Caenorhabditis elegans: one gene and its partners. The gene in region 3 interacts genetically with the main gene of each other region. Each region holds a gene or a part of one and is shown on either strand. Other genes may lie near its edges. The genes, in order: let-23, sem-5, unc-52 and sos-1.

What was found.
Region 1: of unc-52 (region 3) and let-23, changing one enhances a phenotype caused by changing the other (phenotypic enhancement), as found in Caenorhabditis elegans (2 studies listed by BioGRID, with this or other methods).
Region 2: of unc-52 (region 3) and sem-5, changing one enhances a phenotype caused by changing the other (phenotypic enhancement), as found in Caenorhabditis elegans (2 studies listed by BioGRID, with this or other methods).
Region 4: of unc-52 (region 3) and sos-1, changing one enhances a phenotype caused by changing the other (phenotypic enhancement), as found in Caenorhabditis elegans (2 studies listed by BioGRID, with this or other methods).

Annotation. Positions count from the first base shown.
Region 1 is NC_003280.10:9,195,493-9,200,685, forward strand, and holds the start of let-23 (receptor protein-tyrosine kinase), read left to right. Parts: upstream 1-2,019; 5' UTR 2,020-2,025; coding exon 2,026-2,155; intron 2,156-2,491; coding exon 2,492-2,512; intron 2,513-2,764; exon of another isoform or gene 2,765-2,853; coding exon of another isoform or gene 2,854-2,968; intron 2,969-3,448; coding exon 3,449-3,516; intron 3,517-3,696; coding exon 3,697-3,855; intron 3,856-3,940; coding exon 3,941-4,094; intron 4,095-4,144; coding exon 4,145-4,363; intron 4,364-4,525; coding exon 4,526-4,792; intron 4,793-4,859; coding exon 4,860-4,976; intron 4,977-5,063; coding exon 5,064-5,154; intron 5,155-5,193. UniProt on the Caenorhabditis elegans protein: Tyrosine-protein kinase receptor which, upon binding ligand lin-3, activates 2 signaling cascades: the let-60/Ras and MAP kinase signaling pathway and the let-60-independent phospholipase C-mediated Ca(2+) signaling pathway.
Region 2 is NC_003284.9:7,958,683-7,963,349, forward strand, and holds sem-5 (Sex muscle abnormal protein 5), read right to left. Parts: upstream 3,042-4,667; 5' UTR 3,031-3,041; coding exon 2,953-3,030; intron 2,903-2,952; coding exon 2,802-2,902; intron 2,631-2,801; coding exon 2,508-2,630; intron 2,461-2,507; coding exon 2,353-2,460; intron 2,305-2,352; coding exon 2,168-2,304; intron 1,669-2,167; coding exon 1,529-1,668; 3' UTR 771-1,528; downstream 1-770.
Region 3 is NC_003280.10:14,681,133-14,686,376, forward strand, and holds the start of unc-52 (Basement membrane-specific heparan sulfate proteoglycan core protein), read right to left. Parts: upstream 3,325-5,244; 5' UTR 3,165-3,324; coding exon 2,962-3,164; intron 2,414-2,961; coding exon 2,259-2,413; intron 2,173-2,258; coding exon 1,934-2,172; intron 1,758-1,933; coding exon 1,575-1,757; intron 1,210-1,574; coding exon 1,059-1,209; intron 671-1,058; coding exon 561-670; intron 192-560; coding exon 11-191; exon of another isoform or gene 1-10. UniProt on the Caenorhabditis elegans protein: Component of an integrin containing attachment complex, which is required for muscle development and maintenance. Probable structural role in myofilament assembly and/or attachment of the myofilament lattice to the cell membrane.
Region 4 is NC_003283.11:4,546,191-4,551,186, forward strand, and holds the start of sos-1 (Son of sevenless homolog), read right to left. Parts: upstream 3,102-4,996; 5' UTR 3,090-3,101; coding exon 2,970-3,089; intron 2,918-2,969; coding exon 2,831-2,917; intron 2,721-2,830; coding exon 2,634-2,720; intron 1,683-2,633; coding exon 1,380-1,682; intron 1-1,379. UniProt on the Caenorhabditis elegans protein: Promotes the exchange of Ras-bound GDP by GTP. May regulate signaling pathways downstream of receptor tyrosine kinase, egl-15 and let-23.

The DNA of each region.
Region 1 (5,193 bases), 5.5 Mb from region 3:
TATTTTCAGGTCGAAGTATTTTACAGGCTTCAAAATGGTCCACTGGTCCAGTCATCAATACCTTTTCCGGTCAGGTTACTGTAATCCAAAAATGCAACCTCGAACAAATGATATATGTTTATAGTCTCTAATACTTCCTTGACCTCTAAATACCTTTTCTTCTCCTCCTTGCCCTCAGTTTTTTCTCATAAATCTTCATAAACCCACTTGACACCTGGAATCTCTTCCCCTCCCTCATCATTTTCCAATCCTCCCTCACCTATACTTTCAATAACAAATTTTCTGCTCTTTTCTTTACGAAGAAATAGACAAAGTGACTCTGAGCCAAGCCACACAATCAAAATCCAATCATTTTCCACATGTTGATCTCCTCTTCGTTCATATTTCTTAGGCGCATCTAGGTGTTCAACCATATGGTAATTAGGACCGCCCGTGTTCTTCCCCACTAGCTGCCAACCGATGGCGGTATGACTTCAAAGGGAATGAAAATGAATCAAGAACCCTCATTCTTCAGTGTTGTTGCAAGATTGATTTATTAGTTTTGAGAGGTTTTTTTTGTTTCAATTAATAGATCTCCGAATTTTGCCTAAAATTTGAATGTATCCACTTTTTACTTTAAGATATTTATGTTAAAGTTTTCAATGAACATTTTTAATGCAAAAATTGTGGAGACATTATCTATTGTTTTTAAAAACATCAATGAAGATCCCGATGTAATTTTTTAGATTTAAAACGGTTTTCTAAAAGCAAAACGCCAAGCAAGCATTTGATAACCATTTGCACATAGAAATACGCCGCCCAGCCTTTTCCCATCAACCTATTCATATTCAAGTTCTATTTGTCGGGAGGTCCATTGAGTATTGTCCACGTTTATAAATCTATTATGATTCACAATCTAAAAGAGCTCAGAAATAAGAAAGAATGAGAATTAGAGAAGCAGAGAAGATGCTCAACAACCATCGTCTTCTTCTCTTCCTTATCAACCACCCACACAGTCCTGCTCACTTGCTCCTATCACTTTTTTCCTTGTACCGAAAGAAAAATATGAACAATTTGAAATACTGCTGACAAATTTTTGTGTACGACGTCAAATGCGTTTTGGCATGTGATTGAGGTTTTGATTTTTTTTGGTGTAAAATTCATTTGAAAAATAAATTCTTCGGACGAACCGGAAATTTTAAGCTTTTAGTTTCATATATCTTACTTACTTTTCAGCATATAAACTACAAAAACCTACAATAATTTTTCAACTGAAAATCGATCTGAACTCTTCTAAATTCTAAATTAAAAAATTTCCCGGATTTCCGCCATTTTCTTTTCGATATTTCTTAAAAGCATCTCCTCAAGTTTCCCATGCCGATCGTATGTTGTTCTTTCCTCTGATTCATAGATTTCAATTATAAAAGTGAGAGAACTTGAGAGCTCGAGACGTCACGCACAAAAGAAACCATTTTTCTAACTTCTCGGAGCAAGAGGTACACTATTTTTTAACGGCTCTTTTTTTTACAATAAAATTAGGACTGCGCAATCAATAAAAATTATTGAGTTCGTTCAGCGTTAAAAAAAATCAAAAAATTTTTGCAGAAATTTTGGCTTCAAATTTCAATTTCCACTTAAAATCCTTGTTAAGCCAGTAAGATGCTATACATTCAAACTAGGATATTAAACGCATACTACCCCAAACACACGAACTGTCGGAAGCTGTACCCGAAATTGTGTCCTCCAATTTATCTTCACACAATTTGACAGCAACTCGTCCATATTGAGAACTCGTCTCTGGGCCCCCCGATGGGGAATAGGTCGTAGACCACAAAAAGAACGTGGCGCCACAACACCAATAAAACATTTTTGTACGTTATTCTATGTATGGTTGAACTGTGTCGTTGTTGAAGAGTTTTAATCCCATCTCGCTCGCATCACCTTTTTTTGTTTCAAAAATCGCCTCCTTTACTGCCTATACCTCTCCCAATTCTCTTGACAATATCGACCAAAAACTGCATTACTGATGTCCAATTTTCATTTCAGATGAAGTTCCCTTTTTTATTCTTATTTTTAATAATCTTAATTGATACAACAATTGATGCGGCATCACCAACGTCAACACAAGGTTCAGTAACTGTACGGAGGAGGCAACGGAAGATTGTGGTGAGAGAATGTGAGTTGGCTTTTGGAATTATTACGTTTTCCATTATTTTGTTCAATTTGATCAAAATTTGAAAATCGTGAAAAATTGGATCTGAAACCGATTAGAGCGAGGTTATGAATCCTATTTTATTGGCTTGTCATTTTTTTGATAGATAAATGACTCCGCCTATATCTTGGTTTTTCTCAAAAAGATTTCTGTGAATACGAAAATTATTCCACATGAAATTGACCACCATAGTAAAAAACAAGCTTTTGGATTTTTATTAAAAGTTAAAATAATATAATGTTTAAAAATGCATTCCGAACAGGAAAGTATGTCTCAGAATTTGCAAACATTTTTTTAAAGGGAACCTAACAGATCCTAGTGGTGAGTAACCCCGTTATATCCAAATATAATTTCCTTTTCCCATTGTTTTTGTGGTATTTGTGATGTCCTCGTGATTTATCCAAAAACCCAATTAATTACTCTTTCCCCCACACATTCATACATAGAAATTTGCAACTCATTCCATTTCGAAGCACTTGAGAAGATGAAAAATGCTAGAATTGAGGCAAAAATGAAATGAAAATGAGCACACATTCAGTCTACTACTCTCTGTCCCGTTTTTGGGTATCACATGTATAAGAGGTAGAAAAGTGGTCATAGAAGAGTGAAAAAAAGGAAGAATTTGTCCAAGTTTTCTCACTATCTACAATTTTCTGGGAGGCATGCGATACCCTCCCTCTATCGGTTCAATTTTATTGATTATTCCTATTTTTCTAACATTTTTTGGAAATTCTAATGCACAGTTGTGGAAAAGATGTGTTTCACCTCAAGACTGCCGTAAGTGGATAAAATGGGAAATTGTCAACAATGGCAACTGATTTTTTTTAAATCATAGAATATACATATGCGATTTGATGTGTTCTTTCTAAAAAGTTTCAAGACATATACTTTAAAAAAATGTTCATTAAAGTAATACAATACTTTTTGTAGAAATTTAAATTTTTATTAATTTTGACATGAATCATGATATTTCGATTACAGAAAGTTATCAAAAGTTCATTACAAGTACAGTAACCGGTAGACACGTGAGAACTTTATCATTTAAAATGTCATTCAGAGGACAAGTAATCGGATCATCAAGAAAATTGAAAGGCTCCATTTTTTTCTTTTTTTTTGAGATAAGAAAAATTTTTAAAATAATTCTAGTTAATTTTTAGAGAAACTAGATTTTTTGAAACCAAAATATGCATCCCCTCTGTGAATTTTTCCTCTTTGAATCAAACAAAAACTTACACGAATTTCATTCTTGATTTTCAGTTTGTTCTGGCACAACCAATGGAATATCGAGATATGGAACCGGAAATATTTTGGAAGATCTGGAAACTGTAAGTTGTTGAATAGGGATTTATCTTTGATTTCTGCTGTTAAACCATACGATTAGAATTTTATTTTAAAAAAATTTAAAAAGTTCCGGATCGACGAAGTAACCATCCAAAACAAATAGTCAAATAGCCCCAGGCAAAACTAAATTTTTTGCCAAAACAAGGAAAAATGTCTTGATTTAGATGTACCGAGGGTGTCGTCGTGTTTATGGAAATCTTGAAATAACATGGATAGAAGCAAATGAAATAAAGAAATGGAGAGAATCGACGAATAGCACTGTGGACCCAAAAAATGAAGATTCACCATTGAAATCAATTAACTTTTTTGATAATTTAGAGGAGGTGAGTATGAAAACATCTACAACAATAGATGTATTTTCTACCAAAAACGTTTTTGCTTAAATCTTCCTTTACCTTTATTTTTCAGATTCGAGGAAGCTTAATAATTTATCGTGCGAATATTCAAAAAATATCATTTCCAAGACTACGAGTAATCTACGGAGACGAGGTTTTTCACGATAATGCATTGTACATTCATAAAAATGATAAAGTTCACGAAGTTGTGATGAGAGAGTTGAGAGGTTTGTTTGCTCAGCTTTTAGAGACATAGTATTTTATTTTTATTTTTCAGTGATTAGGAATGGAAGTGTCACAATTCAAGACAATCCAAAAATGTGTTACATTGGGGATAAAATCGATTGGAAGGAGTTACTGTACGACCCAGATGTACAGAAAGTTGAAACTACAAACTCACATCAACATTGCTATCAAAATGGAAAATCAATGGCAAAATGCCATGAAAGTTGTAATGATAAATGTTGGGGATCCGGAGACAATGATTGTCAACGAGGTTAGCAAAAAAATTAGACTAGACATAAGTTTTTGTTCATTGTGGCTGAATTTTTCAAACTTCTGAAAAAATTTAATTTTTGACACAGAACGATCAAAAGTTTCAAAATTATTTTAAAGAAATTATGTAAATAAAATTCACCAATATGCAGTATATTTTCAGTCTACCGTTCCGTATGTCCAAAATCTTGTTCTCAGTGTTTCTACTCGAACTCTACAAGTTCATACGAATGTTGTGACTCGGCTTGTCTTGGAGGATGTACAGGTCACGGACCAAAAAATTGCATTGCCTGCAGTAAATATGAATTGGATGGAATCTGTATCGAAACGTGCCCATCGCGAAAAATTTTCAATCACAAAACAGGACGATTAGTTTTTAACCCAGACGGAAGATACCAAAATGGAAATCATTGTGTGAAAGAATGCCCTCGTAAGTTATTTGGATAGAGATAAATGATGAATAAGCAGAATCCACAACTCACGAAATACTTTTTCAGCTGAACTTCTAATCGAAAACGATGTATGTGTTCGTCACTGCTCAGATGGTCACCATTATGATGCTACAAAAGATGTTAGAGAGTGTGAAAAATGCAGAAGTTCCAGCTGTCCAAAAAGTACGTTTTCTTTTTGAAATAAATCAATTTCAAGCTGCACTAATTCCTACAAAATCCCTAAAAGCTCAATAAATACAAAATTTTTAGTTTGCACGGTCGATGGACATCTGACAAACGAGACACTTAAAAACTTGGAAGGCTGCGAACAAATTGATGGTCATTTGATAATAGAGCATGCGTAAGTATTTCTTTCTTGGTTTTTGAGATCATCGTATAA
Region 2 (4,667 bases), on a different chromosome or scaffold from region 3:
CAAAATAAATTCAGCCCGACTCCTTTTGGAAATTTAAATCCTGCCAATTTTGCTCATAAACAACTTGCATACATTTCAAATTGCGAATTTTTAAAAGGTTTTCAATGCAAAAAATGTTTTCCATGGAATATAATTACGTCAACTGAGCATCAAGCTTCCAATTGTCGTTTTGAGACTATAAAACGGTCTGTAAATTCGTGATATCACGAAACAACGAATATATACGGCTTTATATTGTTACGTTTTCTTTCAAAATTCAATTGTTAATCAAAGGTGTGGTAAAGCAAAAGACATTAACGTTGCTTTAAAAAAATTGAGAGCACTATTGCATTTTTGAGACTCACAAATTATAATTTAAAAAAATAACTTAAAATTTAGAATAAATTGTTATCTGGTATATCCAAGAAATAAGTAAAGACGGCGCGCTTTTTGGTTGAAAAAAAATTGATTTTTAAGTTCGAAAAACATACCACTTCACCTTTTCCGTTGACAAAAGATTTCACAACCCATTACGCTCATTTTAATTATTATCATTGACTCGTTATAGAATTTTAACTAATGGTTTAATTTCGTTTTTAGAGCCGTATAAACTTTAAAACTAATCGGAGAAGACTTTTATTAAAATTCGAAATGTCTGAGTATTTTGTTCAAACTAGCTTGCAAAATGTGAAAATGTCATTAAAGGAAACTCCACATGCAAAATTTTCCAGATAAACTACTTTGCATCTACAAATTATGTTCTGTAAAAATTATAGAAAGTGGATTAATATAATAATTATTAACCTTCATTGATTTACAAAGGGATTGGAAAATACTTGACAAATTCGATATAAAAGCAAGACGGCGAGTAAAGTGGGAGGCAGAGAGAAGCTTCATGATGCTCTCGACAAGAGATTGAGCCGGAGGAATAGAATGAAGTGATAAAACTATATCAGAACAGTGTGAGTTGTGATAAAACCGAACAATGTAGCACCGAACGAAAAATCGTATTGGTTTTGGATGAATTGCAAAATGTCAAAAGAAAAAGAGAGACAATGACGAGAAATGGCAAATAGTTATGACAAAAATTGCATGAACACAAAAAAAAACAAATGCGAACAGTCTCTGAGTATTGTGTCAGAGTATCTAATCGCTTAATAGATCCGTAATAGAATTGGTGTGGGGTTGGAAGAAAGCGGGAAAGAAAAGGCTGTTGATAACACAACAAGAATTGTATCATTGCCAACGAAACCGAACAAAAAATCGATAAAACATTGCCAATGGCAGTTCCAAGTTGCAAAGAATAAAAACATTGAAAATTCATGGTCTACATGTAAAACACGAACAACTTATCTCAGTTTTGAGAAAGTTGTGAAATTAATACCCAGCATTGGAAAGTGTGTTTGTGACAAGATTTAGTGATTATTATTGGAGATTAAGTAAGAGAGGGCTTATTAGACTACTATGTCAAGAACAAATGGTATAGAAGAAACATTGAACGCTCCTTTTAAAGAACGAACAGAGACAGGAAAAATCCTAAAATAACGTCCTAATTTCCAAAGTTGAAGCCAGGAGCCACGTTGGAGTTGCTCTTATTGCTATTGTAAGGGCATACGTAGTTGGATGGGAAAATTCCACGCCTGTTGTTCAGCTGTCCTTCCCACCAGTTTGGATCGTCTTTGTTGATCACTGAAAATAAAATATAAGAGATTTTCTAAATGTTTTATTTTTCGGGGTTGCTCAACCCCGACAAATAGATGATCAACCGATTAACTCTATTTTTACGTTGTGAACATTCATAATGCTGCAAATTGTATCTTGAAATCCAATGTTTCTCCGAAAAGTAAATAATAGCCACAGAGTTTTTTCATTTCAATTTGAGTTTATACAAAAACTAATCTAACAACTGATTTTCAATACGTGCATTTATTTGTTCCAGTGAAAGTTAGTTTAAGCAAGACGTCTCATATTATCTTCCTAGTACTTTGTATTACCTTTTTGTTATTTTTATGGTTCTTCTTAAATATTCTTGTTTTAAGATCTATAAAGTGAATAGTTTCAAAATTTTCGAAATACAGTCCAAGATATATCCATTTTTACCATTTTCAATTAAACCTAGAATTTTTTGATTCAAACTTTCAATTGAACATTTTAAAATCATGAAAATTTGTGTTTCAAAAACACTTACAAGTGATAACATCTCCTCTTTTGAAAGCTAGCTCTCCACTCTCCTGTGGGTTGAAATCAAACAGGGCCTGTACAAATTTAGTCTCCACATTCATATCTGACAGCAATATTGTGTGAGTACGCGAAACAGAAGCGGTTCTGAAAATTATTGATTTTTTACTTTTTTTTTGAAAAAGTGTGACTCACCTGTGATAAGCAACTAATTCATTCAAAGAGTTGAATTTGACAGCCCACAAGTAATATTTACCATTTTGATCACGCAAAACTTTGAAATGTTGTACAGAATCTTGGAATCTGGAAAAAAATGTATAACTTTTTGAAAATCTATAACATCTTCTTACCGAACACTGATCGAAAATTCTCCTGGACTACTTTCACACTGTCGGACAAGGAAATGACCATCACGTACGGTTGGCTTTTTCAGCAATACTTCTGCGTCATTTCTTGTTATTTTACCAAGGTACCTAAAAATCCAGAAATTTTAAAAATTGTTTACGCAAGCGTTCTCAGTTCTTCGCGCCCTAGCTGCGGGGTATACAAACAAAAACCGCGAGAAGTAAGATCGACTGATTTTTAAAATATAAGCTTATAGATTAAATCCTCAAAAAAGTCAAACTATTTTTTCCCGAACATACCAATTGCATTCAGTCATACGAATATAATTAGAAGGAATGAATCCTTCATTTCCATCCAATTCAGCTTTATACCAATGTGGATCTTCATCTTTGTTCAAAACCTGCAATTATTGATTTTATCAGGGCCCGGTTATGATATTGTTGAACAAACTTTTAGCGTGTTTCCTCTCTTGAAAGACAACTCATCAGGTGATCCCGCCTGGAAATCATGCTCGGCGACCGCCTCCATCGTCTCGCTACCTGAAATATACTCTTTGCAGCTTCAGAAACAATTAACACCAAAATAAAACATAACAGAGTACATTGAACAAACATTGTTGTCAATAAATTGGCCTGCTTGAGAGACTGTATCTACATATCGACATATCCGCGCGGCGCCAATGAAAAATTATTAGAGCAATAAAAAAATCTAGCGGCAAAGCATAGAGGAACAACTGAGAGGGAAAATGAGAATGAGAAGAGCGTAGTGCAAATTGTAACAGGAGATGAGTAAGAGGACCGGCGAGAAAAAAGAAGGATAAATGAAATTGAGAAACGCAGAACGCAAAATAAAAACCCGCAGGGTCACTAGTTCGGTGATTGAGGTGGTTTTAGTTGAGTGTTTGAACGTGAAAACGGGGAAACAGTGGAAACAGTAGAAACCGGAGAGTAACAAACCGGGGCAACACTAAGTGTCGTCGATTCCGGCGCATTGTATGCAACACTAAATGTGCCGAATGCTACGACACTACTTTTCTCTAATACTCCAAATCTATCACGCGTTCTTCGTGTCTCTTTTTTCTCTCCCATCTTCGCACTGTCTCTATCTGTCTCTCCCACACACACACAAAAACAACGGCGAGTTTGGGCAGGCCGGACCGTACTGTTTTCCGCAATGAGTTCTGTAATTTACATGGTTTCAAATGGAGATTCAGAGAAAAAAGTGCGATACGCTATCAGCAGTCATCATGCACGTCTTTTCTTACACTTTTGAATGAATGGCCGGAGAAACGGAAAAGAACAAATGAAAAGTGATAAGAGAACACGAGAAAACGAAGAAGAAAGAATCAAATTGAAAATGCTCCAAGGCATTGGGTATTGCAATTCATCGATTAGAAGAATGTCAACAAACACACTCCCACCTTGTCCTGTCCAGCCTGAGGTGACTAACCGTCTAGAAATCAAAACATTTGGGTGTGCTGGGTAGTCAGTACCGATTCTCTTTTCAAAAATAAAAATGAAAACTATTTCGGAAATAGGGCTAGAGATGATAAATTAGATAGGAAACATAAATAGATTGCAACTTCAATCAAATTTTTGAACTTCAGTTGCTGGAAAATTATTTAGCAGTTAAAAAATTTAATGAAAATTACGAAATAAGACTATAATTTAACCGATATAAAAAAGATAATCGAACCTGTGACAGTTACTCATAAATACTTGACATTTTAATCGGTGAGTGTACGTAAATATAATAAGGAATAGTGTTTTCTAGCTGGAAACCAACTGTATTTACTACTAGTTAGTTTGACAAATGTGTATTTACCTGACTAATACAAAATCGTAAGAACAGTATCTATAGTAAAACTAATATATGACTGAAATTAACTTTTTTAAGAACCAAAATATTAAATTTTGTCACTGGTTCTTTAAATATATCCATATAACTTTTCTGAAAATTCTCACTGTTTTACAGTGTGAACTTCCAAGAGCAAGGTTATGTGACTGATTTGTCAATAAATTTACTAGGTTCCGTAGTCGGCAACTCGTGGCCACTTCTCAACCTACTTTGGCCACTTTCTAACTGCCATTAGATTTCCACCACTTCCCACTTCTCGACCAACTTTCGTCAACTTTCACACACTTTTTCTAGTTGCTTAGAGCGTA
Region 3 (5,244 bases):
ATAAACTAACTAGAAATGGAGCAACACAGTCCAGCCACACATTCGGTCATGGCTGGGCACACCTTGTTGGACCAGCAATAACTCGAGCCGTGAAGACTGAACTCGGGCTCCGAGCCATCTTGGCAAACTGCGTTGACCTTTACGTGGTGGACATGATGAGGTTTGTAGGTCTTGCGTGGATGGGAGCATTTCTGGAAAATTGAAATTTAAAGGAACTTGAAATTAAAGATTGCCTTTGAAAACTCCTGGAGTAATCCCAATTGTCTAAAAAAATGCAATAAAGGCACCTTTTATCAGGAGTGTGCGGCAAACGATTTTTCTGGCAAATCGGCAATCCGGCAATTTGCCGATTTGCCAGATTTGCCGAACAGCAATTGCCGCCCATTCCTGAATTATTTAGTGCATCTACAGTAATATCTTATAGAGTATCCATACAGGCTCTGGAATACTACTGTATTGCAAAAATGCGGTCTTTTTGTGGGTCCAATGTATCCCTACGATTTCCCTACTGTAGTTTCACAGTACAACTTTGTTGAATTTAAAATTCCCCAACCCCTTACCTTTTCATCAGAACCATCATGGCAATCTTTCCATCCGTCACAGACGACGACAGTTGGCACACAAACATTTGTGGACTCGCATCGGAACTCATTCGATTTGCATTGCACTTCTGTAATAAGTCAAGTCGACGAAAGATTTTCTCAAGCACGGAGCACAATTTTTCAATTTTTCCTTGAGCATTTTCTCCTACAAGTGTGCGAAAAACAAAACAAGTGTGCTGGTCAAATGTTTAACTATTGTTTCTCCGAGCACACACACACACATGTGTGTGTGTGCTCTTTTCGTCCCCTCTCACCTTGTTGGAATAACCGGGTCTACTGGCTGCTTTTCAACTAAAAATTATTGGAAATGAGTCATTGATCTATCTTCCATTTTTTGGTACTAGTATTTTTCTCACAATGAAAAACATCAATTATTACATTCTAAGGAGCGAGGTAGTATCTAGCACCTATTATAACGAAATGTTCAATGTATTTTATGACTAAGAGGCCCCCTACCAGAGCAATGTTCCTCGTCATCACCATCTGGGCATTGAACTCGGCGATCACAGAATTGGGCGACTGGAAGGCAATGTCCAGATTTACAGGCACGCTCCCCGCTTGGGCATTCGTCGGATTCGGTGGCGACACGGTCGGAGGTGATGCGGACCTGAAATTGAACATTTTATGAATAGCTAAAAATACTGTAAATGGAAATTGGTTCTGATCGGTTTCGGAATAATGAAAAATTTTGATTTTAGAAATTTTCAAACATATTTTCACTTGTTTGAAGTCCTTTAAGTTGAAACACAATGTATCAAAATATGCAAATCGGAGAAGAAAAATTTTTTAAAAAATGGACCAAAAAATTCATGTGCAAATATAATAGTCGTTGAACCTCTCAGTTACAGTTTTGCCAATATTTTTGGAAATTTAAAATTTTAAAGGAAGTTTCAAACCATCAATGATAGCATATATGGAAACCCCTTTCTTAATATTTTTCTCAAATTTCCTGAATCACTTTCCAACGCTTACCTCAAAATCAGCCTCCACATTTATTCCTTGCACAATCATTTTATAAGTTCCATCATCTGCGTCGGTGGCGTTGATGATATGAAGATGATGTTTGTCTCCTTTTTTGTAAACCGTCACACGCCCGTCTTCTGCCAAGGTCATCGAGCCAACTCCAAGAAGAACGCTGTCTTTGGACCAAGCAATCTGGAATAATCAATAGTTTTACACAATATTAAAAGATTTTTCGGAGCATTACCTCAATTCAAAAGTCAATTAAGAAACTTTTTTTTTAATTATCAACATAGCTTGGAATTAGAAAATTAAGCATAGCCTCCAATCATGTAGACACTTTTTTATAATCAAATAAAGTGTATACGAACCTTATTATCCTCTACCGAACTATCAATTGAAGCCGAGAGATGGATGGATCCATGTTTCTGAGCGAAGACAACTTTCTCAGTTTGATGGATGATTGGTTGATGCTGCTTGCATTTTCCATGCTCCTTGTGCTCATCTGATCCATCTGGACAGTTGCGTCTTCCATCACAACGTTGATCCGCCGGGATGCATGACTTGTCAAGGCATGTGAATTCTGTGGTGGCGCAGGCTATTGACGAGTCTGCAATTTTTGGTAAAGTAAGATTTTTCAGGCGACTGAATAATTTTAACATATAAAACAACACACAACAACACACAACAACACACCTCTTACAACATGAAGCTCAAAACCCTCATCGGAAACCGTAAGGTTCCCAATTTTTCCAGACTTTATCGCGGACAACAACACATCAGACACCAGTGGTGACTCTTTTTCAGCGTACAAATCCACGTAGACAAGAGATCCAATGATTTTGTGATATCTGGAAGTTACAACAACATATAGGTACACACACATGTACATACATACGCATGTATTTACACAAAATACTCTATTGTTGACTTTCTCTCGTGGGAGGAAGCGACCGTTTTTTTTTTGTTAAGAATTATCAGAAAACATGACATTGGAATTTGGAAGAATTATTTGAAAACTTTAATATATACTTTTTAAAATTAAGCTGCAGAAGTATGCCTTCTAAATTAGTATTGTTGAATTTTGAATGACCGCGGACTCCGGACCTCGGACTTCGGACCTCGGGCTTCGGGTTCCGTTCTCCGGACGATGGACTCCGGGCTCTGCACTCCGGACTCCCAATTTTGGAACCCGGGTCTCCGAACTTGCGGATTACGGACTCTGGGTTATGGCCCACGGGCAACAGTTACGGGTTTGGATTACGGACTGATGGACATTTTGTAATTTTAAGATTCCGCAAAAAAGTAAATATGTGGAAATTAGGGGAGCAATTTTAGAATTTCTTGAAAAGTGAAAAACGCCCAAAATTGTCGATAACCTTTTTCACTCAAAACTCACTTATAATCGGCAACCTTAGCTGTATGCCTTCCTTCTAGATCCTTGACCAACTCTTGAATAGAATGAGCTATATCTCTAGATGTGCTCACGAACTCATCGCTCTCAACGTTCTTCAACTCCTGAGTGTACGGTAGTTCGGGAAAGTTGATGGTCAACCGGTAGATGACCGTCAGTGAAACGACGGAGAACAGCGAAAACGCCATCCCCCCTAACTAGTTGACGGGGGGTATAAATGAGCAGTAGGTCAGTTTTAAAAAAAGAAAGTAAGGAGATAGAAGGTTGCTAGACAGAGGCGCGCGCTGACCGTCGGCGGCGGCGAGGCACAGCGGCACAGTTGCAACTTCTTAGGCCCCGCCCACTTTTTTAGGAGAAGCTTCCACCCTCCTTCTTCTCTAACTGAATTTCTTTCCTGACTCAGGTAAATATTTGCATTTTAGAGCCGCCTCTCTTGTTGCGCCTGCGCGTCTCGCAACTAGCATAAACACATCACACACACTCACACTCACTCACACACTCACATACTTGAATAGCTTGTCATGCACCACGTTGGACGGAGTATCATGGTATATAACCGTCTCATAATATATAATATAGATTCGCATGTTTCTTGCTTATTGTTATTATATTAGACGCGGTTGCCGCTATTGGGGGTGCAAGTTTGAAAAGAGCTAGAAAATTTGGTAGCATTGGTGTTTGAGAAAATATTTCCAATTCTAATGCGTTTCTGGCCATTAGCTGACAGTAACCAAATCATACAGTTCTCATGTATACTTTCTAAAGCAATTCCAGTGTGTTTAAGCTTCAAATCTAGCAGTCCTCATTTTATGTAAAACTACATAATTTCCAGAAAAGTACAAAAATTCAACAGAACATATAAAATATGTTGATGTTGCATGAATACATAGTTGCAAAACCACAATTTTCCTAAAATTTTCAATTTTGGCAACTGCCAAAAATAAAATTTGTCGGCCACTCTCTTGATACAGAGTGAATCCACAGTACCTGGCGTTTCACGTCAAGTGCATTTGAGTGTGCTACCATAGTCTTATCGAAAGACTTTTGTACATACAATAAACCTAGCCACTTCGTGATCAATTCATGAATTTCAATTCAAAACAACTCTATATTGCAAATTTCTGAATTCTAGGATTTTTCTAGGAAGGCGGTGAAAACCATGTACAAAGCTTCGCCTTTTTCAAGTTGCTCCGGCCCGCGTGCACTTTTGATTTCATTTGGCAAAAAGAGTTTTTGTTGCAATACCCGCCCAAACCATCATATATCCTGTCCAAACAAAATATCCCCAAATCTTTTCCGACATACACAGGTCGTCGTCATCTCATCACTCGACGAGAGTTCCCCGATCATCAAACCTCATATTGGTGGCTCGTCTTTTCCGTCCGATTTTCACATCCTCAAGTGTTTATAAATAGAGGAAGAATCATCTCCCAGAGGTTATAGCTTTGACTATATATATTTCATTTTCCCATACCTTTTATAATCACTGATATCGCCACCTCACCAAAGAAGGTGGCGAAAACTGTCGAAACCTTCCGATTATATAAAAGTACCCCCACAAATATTGACACAACAATTGGACAGTCTTCAAGCCGATTTAAGGGAGGAACGGTAGCTGCTTGGAATGGGGGTAGTAGGTTAAAAGGTGAAAAGCGGCGAGGAAAAAGAGTGGAAAATTGGTGGAGAGCTGGGAGAATTGTTTGCTGATTTTCGCACTATCCCTATACTTCTTGCATCTAAAAGTGCAAATCTTTTGGGGAAAGCTGGTGAAAAAAATTGGGAGTTAATTAGAGGAAAAAACAATTGGAACAAACACAAAATTTTCAAGAGAAAAAATATGATTTTTTGAGTACAGTGAGTAAATATATGAAAGTGAATAAAATTTTTTTAAAAATGGCAAAAATAATTTAGCAATTTTCGAAAAAAAAAGTTTTTAAGCCCAAACAAAACCATAACACAAAGCATTTTGAAAAAAATACAGACACACTTAAACTAAAAAAGCAGGCAAACATATCCCAATGAGGAGGGGGCCACCCAACAAACGCAACAGGATGAATGAGATCTATAACCGGGAAGAGTTGTAAACTAATGTAAAGGCAATTGTTAGCGCGTTAGGAAATTGTCGCATGCATACATTACACACCAGGGGTGGGCCGCAAATAATTTTTTTTCTCGGAAAACGGCGAAACGGAAAATTGCCGAAAATTAAAGTTCCCCGCAAATCGGCAAAGTTCAGGAAAACGAAAAAAAAGTGAATTTTTTGAAAAA
Region 4 (4,996 bases), on a different chromosome or scaffold from region 3:
AACGGAAATTTTTCGGCAAAAGTTGAAATAAGTTGAAAAAAAAATTTCATATTTCACCGTAACATACACGTAGTCAAGTCAGGCTGTCCCATTACGGTTTGATCTACAAAAAATGCGGGAATTTTTTCCTCGGAATAATGTGACGTCCCGCCTTTTTCGGAGATCAAACCAAAATGGGACACTTTGAGACCACGTGCAGATACACGTGGAGTCAGGCTGTCCCATTACGGTTTGATCTACGAAAAATGCGGGAGAAGAGACGCAGAGTTCTCAACTGATTTCGCATGGTTAAGAGCGTGCTAACGTCACATTTTTTCTGGGAAAAAATTCCCGCATTTTTCGTAGATCAAACCGTAATGGGACAGCCTGGCACGAAGTGGACATATGCAATATAATTTTGAGATGAAATTTATGAAAAAAGAGAATTTGAAACAAATTTAGCCAAAATTGGCCAAAAACCGATAATTTAATCTTAAAATTATACCCTTTTTCCAGAAAAAAGTCTGAAAAAATAATATTTCCAATTATAAAACAGAAAAAAAACAAAGAAAACCCAATTAATATATCGTTTTTCGGCAATAATATTGCCGACGGCTATATTAATTAGATTTTCCTTTTTTTTTTCTTTGCAAACAAGTCTAATTATCGATTTTCAGGTCAATTTAGGTCAATTTCAGAAATTTCTGGGATTTTTTTTTTTTGAATTTTCGCTTCAAAATAACCAAAATAGTCTCAAATTCGGAAAAAAATACACAAGAAAATCGTGAAAATTTTGGCTAACTTTGAATTCCCACCGCAACGAAAACTGCACAACCAATCAGCGCCACCAAACTCCGCCCACTCCATCTGATTGGTTGAAGAATGGGCGGAGCGAATCGCTGATTGGTCGCAGCAGTCAGGGTTGTAGATTTTGCCGTGTTTTTGGCGAAAAATGTGTTTTTTTTTGTTGCTTTTTTTTCGAAAAAAAGATTGATAAAAAGCGGAAAATTCTGATAAATTGAAAAATATAGAAAAATATTAAATTTTACATAAATTCCAAAAAATCACACTCGAATTTTTTTTAATGCAATTTTGGTCAAAATAAGCAAGTTTTTTTTTAAAATAACGTTATAAACTGAAAAATGTTTATTCTTTTCGCTTTTTTGTGTTTTTTGGCGAAAAATTTATTATTTCTTCGTATTTTTCGGCGAAAAATGTTTTGTTTTCAAAAAAAAAATTTTTTTCTCGTTTTTCGATTTCGAAAACAAAATTGTGTTTAGCTAAAATTGCGATTTTTTTGGTTTTTTCTGAATTCAAGACTATTTTTATTTTTATTTTTTCGAAGCAAATTTTCTGCTGAATAGGTTTTTTTTATATTTTTCTCCAAAAAAAAGCAGTACCTTATCCCCGTTCATCGCCACATCAAGATTAGCCATCGTAATCTTTTGCTCACTATTTCGAATATTTTTCACATAATTTCCAGTCAGCCTGAGCACATCTTCAGTAACACTTTCACATGCATAATAAATATAGCATGCGATACGTTCGATTTCCTTCTTTTCTCGATCTTTTTTCTCTTTTTCTCGTGGTCCAAGTGTTTCTTTGATGACTGCTGCCAGGCGATGTTGGCTTTCTAGAACTGTTTTCAGGGCTTTTTGATATTTGTGCTTTTGGAGTTGTTGGTGCATGTTGTCCCAGGCTTCCTGCAAATTTTGAAATAATATTTAAGAAAATTCGAGAAATCAGAAAAAATACACATTTTAGGGGGAATATTGCTCCGAAAAATTCAAAAATAGTCTCAAATTCTGAAAAATCCAAATTTTAAAATCACGAAAATTTTCGAAAGTTGAATTTTTCAATATTTCGTGGTTTGTTCATTTTAATTTGTGGTTTTTCAGAATTTTAGAATTTTTAAAAATATTTTTTTCCCAAAGAGTATATTTCATTTTTCTTGTATTTATGTTAGGTGGAAAACGTTTTTTTTTGTTGGTTTTTTCACCAATTTCACTACTTTTTTAATATTTTTTTTGTCCAAACCCAGATTTTTTAGGCAAAAAAAAGAAAAATTTGTATATTCATAAATCACCAAAAAAGATCGTGATTTGATTTTCAAAACTATTCATTTTTTGTCTTTTATCCTGAATATTCAAGTTTATGGAATTCTTTCCGCTTTAAAATATTTTATTTAAAATGTACTACGAGAACACAAAAATCTGAGAATGCGTATTGCACATATTTGACGCGCAAAATGTGTCGTAGCGAAAACTACAGTAACCCTTTAAATGATTACTGTAGCGCTTGTGTCGATTTACGGGGCCCAATTTTCGAAATAAGCTCCATCGCTTTTAATACGAAAATCGAGATCTCGTAAATCGACACAAGCGCTACAGTAGTGATTTGAAGGATTACTGTAGTTTTCTTTTTCGCTACGAGTTATTTTGCGCGTCAAATATGTTGTGCAATACGCATTCTCAGATTTTTGTGTTCTCGTAGTACATTTTAAATAAAATATTTTAAAGCGGAAAGAATTCCATAAACTTGAATATTCAGGATAAAAGACAAAAAATGAATAGTTTTGAAAATCAAATCACGATCTTTTTTGATGATTTATGAATATACAAATTTTTTGGAAACATTTTTTGAAAATCCCTTACTTTACAAACAGTCTGCAGACCGAATGCGAACAGCTTTTTCGCAGTTTTGTCCACTTCGACGACACTTGTGGCACGTGCTTCGATGAGCTGAAGAGGGGAAAGGATTACAAGGTCAAGAAATGCACAGGGGGAATTTATTAATATTAATTTATTTGTTAGATTTGAAAAAAAACCGATATATACATATATATATATACCTCAAAAACGATACTTTGCAAAAAATATCGAATGTGCTCAACTGCAGCATTGTCAATCGGGAGGCCAGGATGTACGATATTGCATATCTGAAATTGAAAAATATTATTGAATTCAGGAAATATTCAAATATATACAAACCTGATAAATTCTTTCATCAAAAATAGCCGCCCAATGCTTACTAGTTGATATTGTTCGTCGGCTGGTCAACGAGACCGTATCCGATGATGCCGAGTGCAGTGATATGCTCATTATGCTCATTTATATGACCATCTGCAATGAAATTTTGAATTATTTAGGAAAAAATATATTAGTGGGCCAACAATAAGTTACGAGTTAAAATTCATGAATTAATAAATTCTTACGCTGACAATCGATTTTTTTTTAAATTTTCTAATCACCAGAAGTACCTTAAAGTGAACAGAAAAAAATATTTTAGCATATACCGTCAAATGAAAAATTTCCGAATTTTTTCAATTTATTTTGTTTAATAAAATTGTTTTTTTTTTCGTTGATATATGGAACATAATCCAATTCCTCGAAAAAATTGGAATTTGCCGGAAATGTTTAGAGGGATTTTTATAAGATGGGAACATTTAAAACTGCCCCTTTTTTAAATTTTTTCTTACAGTTCAAAACAGACGTAGGAAAATTCATAGGATGCGTACAATTTCGCCGATTTAGATTGAAATTCTGAAATTTCCAACAAAAAAAGAAGTGCAAAACCACGTTTCGCCGAAAATTTTCGACAATTGCCACTTTTCCGGTTTATTGCCAATTTGCCGGAAATTTCAATTCCGGCCATTTGCCGCTTTGCTGGAAAAAATCGGCAAACGATTTTTGCTAACTTTCCGGCAAATCAACATTGCCGGAATTGACAATTTCCGGCAAATCGGCAAACCGGCAAATTGTGGCCTTGCACTTTTTTTTTGGGAATTCCAGAAGTTCAATTTCAATCAGCAAAATTGTACGCATCCTATGAATGTTCCTACATCTATTTTGAAAAGTTAGCAAATTCTATGAAAATATCTAAAGAAAACCGGAAAAAAATTTCAAAAAGGCACAGTTTTAAGTGTTATGAAAAATATAAAAAAATATATAAAAAACCCTCATTTTTCTGGCAAATTGATATCCGGCGAACGGCAAATCGGCAAATTGCCGAAAATCGAAATTTCCGGCAAATTGGCAAATCGGCAATTTGCCGAATTTGTGGACAAGAAAATTTGCCAAACCACAATTGCCGGACATCCCTGGCTGGTAACATAAATTCCGGCAATTTCAGAAAAAAAAATCTGCATGCAAGGAACGAATTTATATATTTTTTTAAATTTTCACTTTTGCAAAGTTTATTTAAGACAAAAACTATATTGACGAGAGCGAGAAAAGCAAGATGGAGAAGAAGGAGAAAAGTGTATGATGGCGATGATGATGATGATTACAACCCGCAAAAATAATGCATGGAACAACACACACACTGAAAAGAAGAAATAGAAGAAAAGATGGAGTGTGATGGAAGCGTAGAGGTGACAGACAAGCGGACAGAATGATACGGGATGAGAACGGGAAGCGGGGGGTTACCCGCCGGCGGCTGCTGACGAAATACTGCAGGAATCTGTGAGAGATTCTAGAGAAATGGACACCCGACAACGGCCGGCCACCATCTCTCACCACGGCCTTGTTCTATTCGAACCAGTTTGATCTGTTGAGAAGACTTTATATATTTATTGATTTGCAGTGCAATCAGTAGCCCCACCTAATCAACACAAATACACTACTTCAAGGTCGACTCTTTTTTGATTCTCGTTTCGATTTTTTTGAGGTCAAATTCGATCGAATTGAAGAAATTTGAAAAGTAGTAGAGATTTTGGTTATTTTGCTTGAATAGACCAAAACTGACTGGATATCATAATGAGACTTTTTTCTTAAAAAAAAATCGAAAAAAAAGCCGAAATTTCGGCAACTCTTGCTTATGGCAGCCTCTGGAATTTTACTTACAGTTTTTATTAAATTATCACCCTTTATTGCATACTTTTATCGTTTATCTCATGCTAAAAGTGGTGTAGTCGATTTTTTATTTCGATTATTATTTCTTGACTAAACTCAAAATAGTCTGAAAACACCGAATTTTATAATGAAACATCTTGAAAACTTGTTTTAAAAAAGTTATG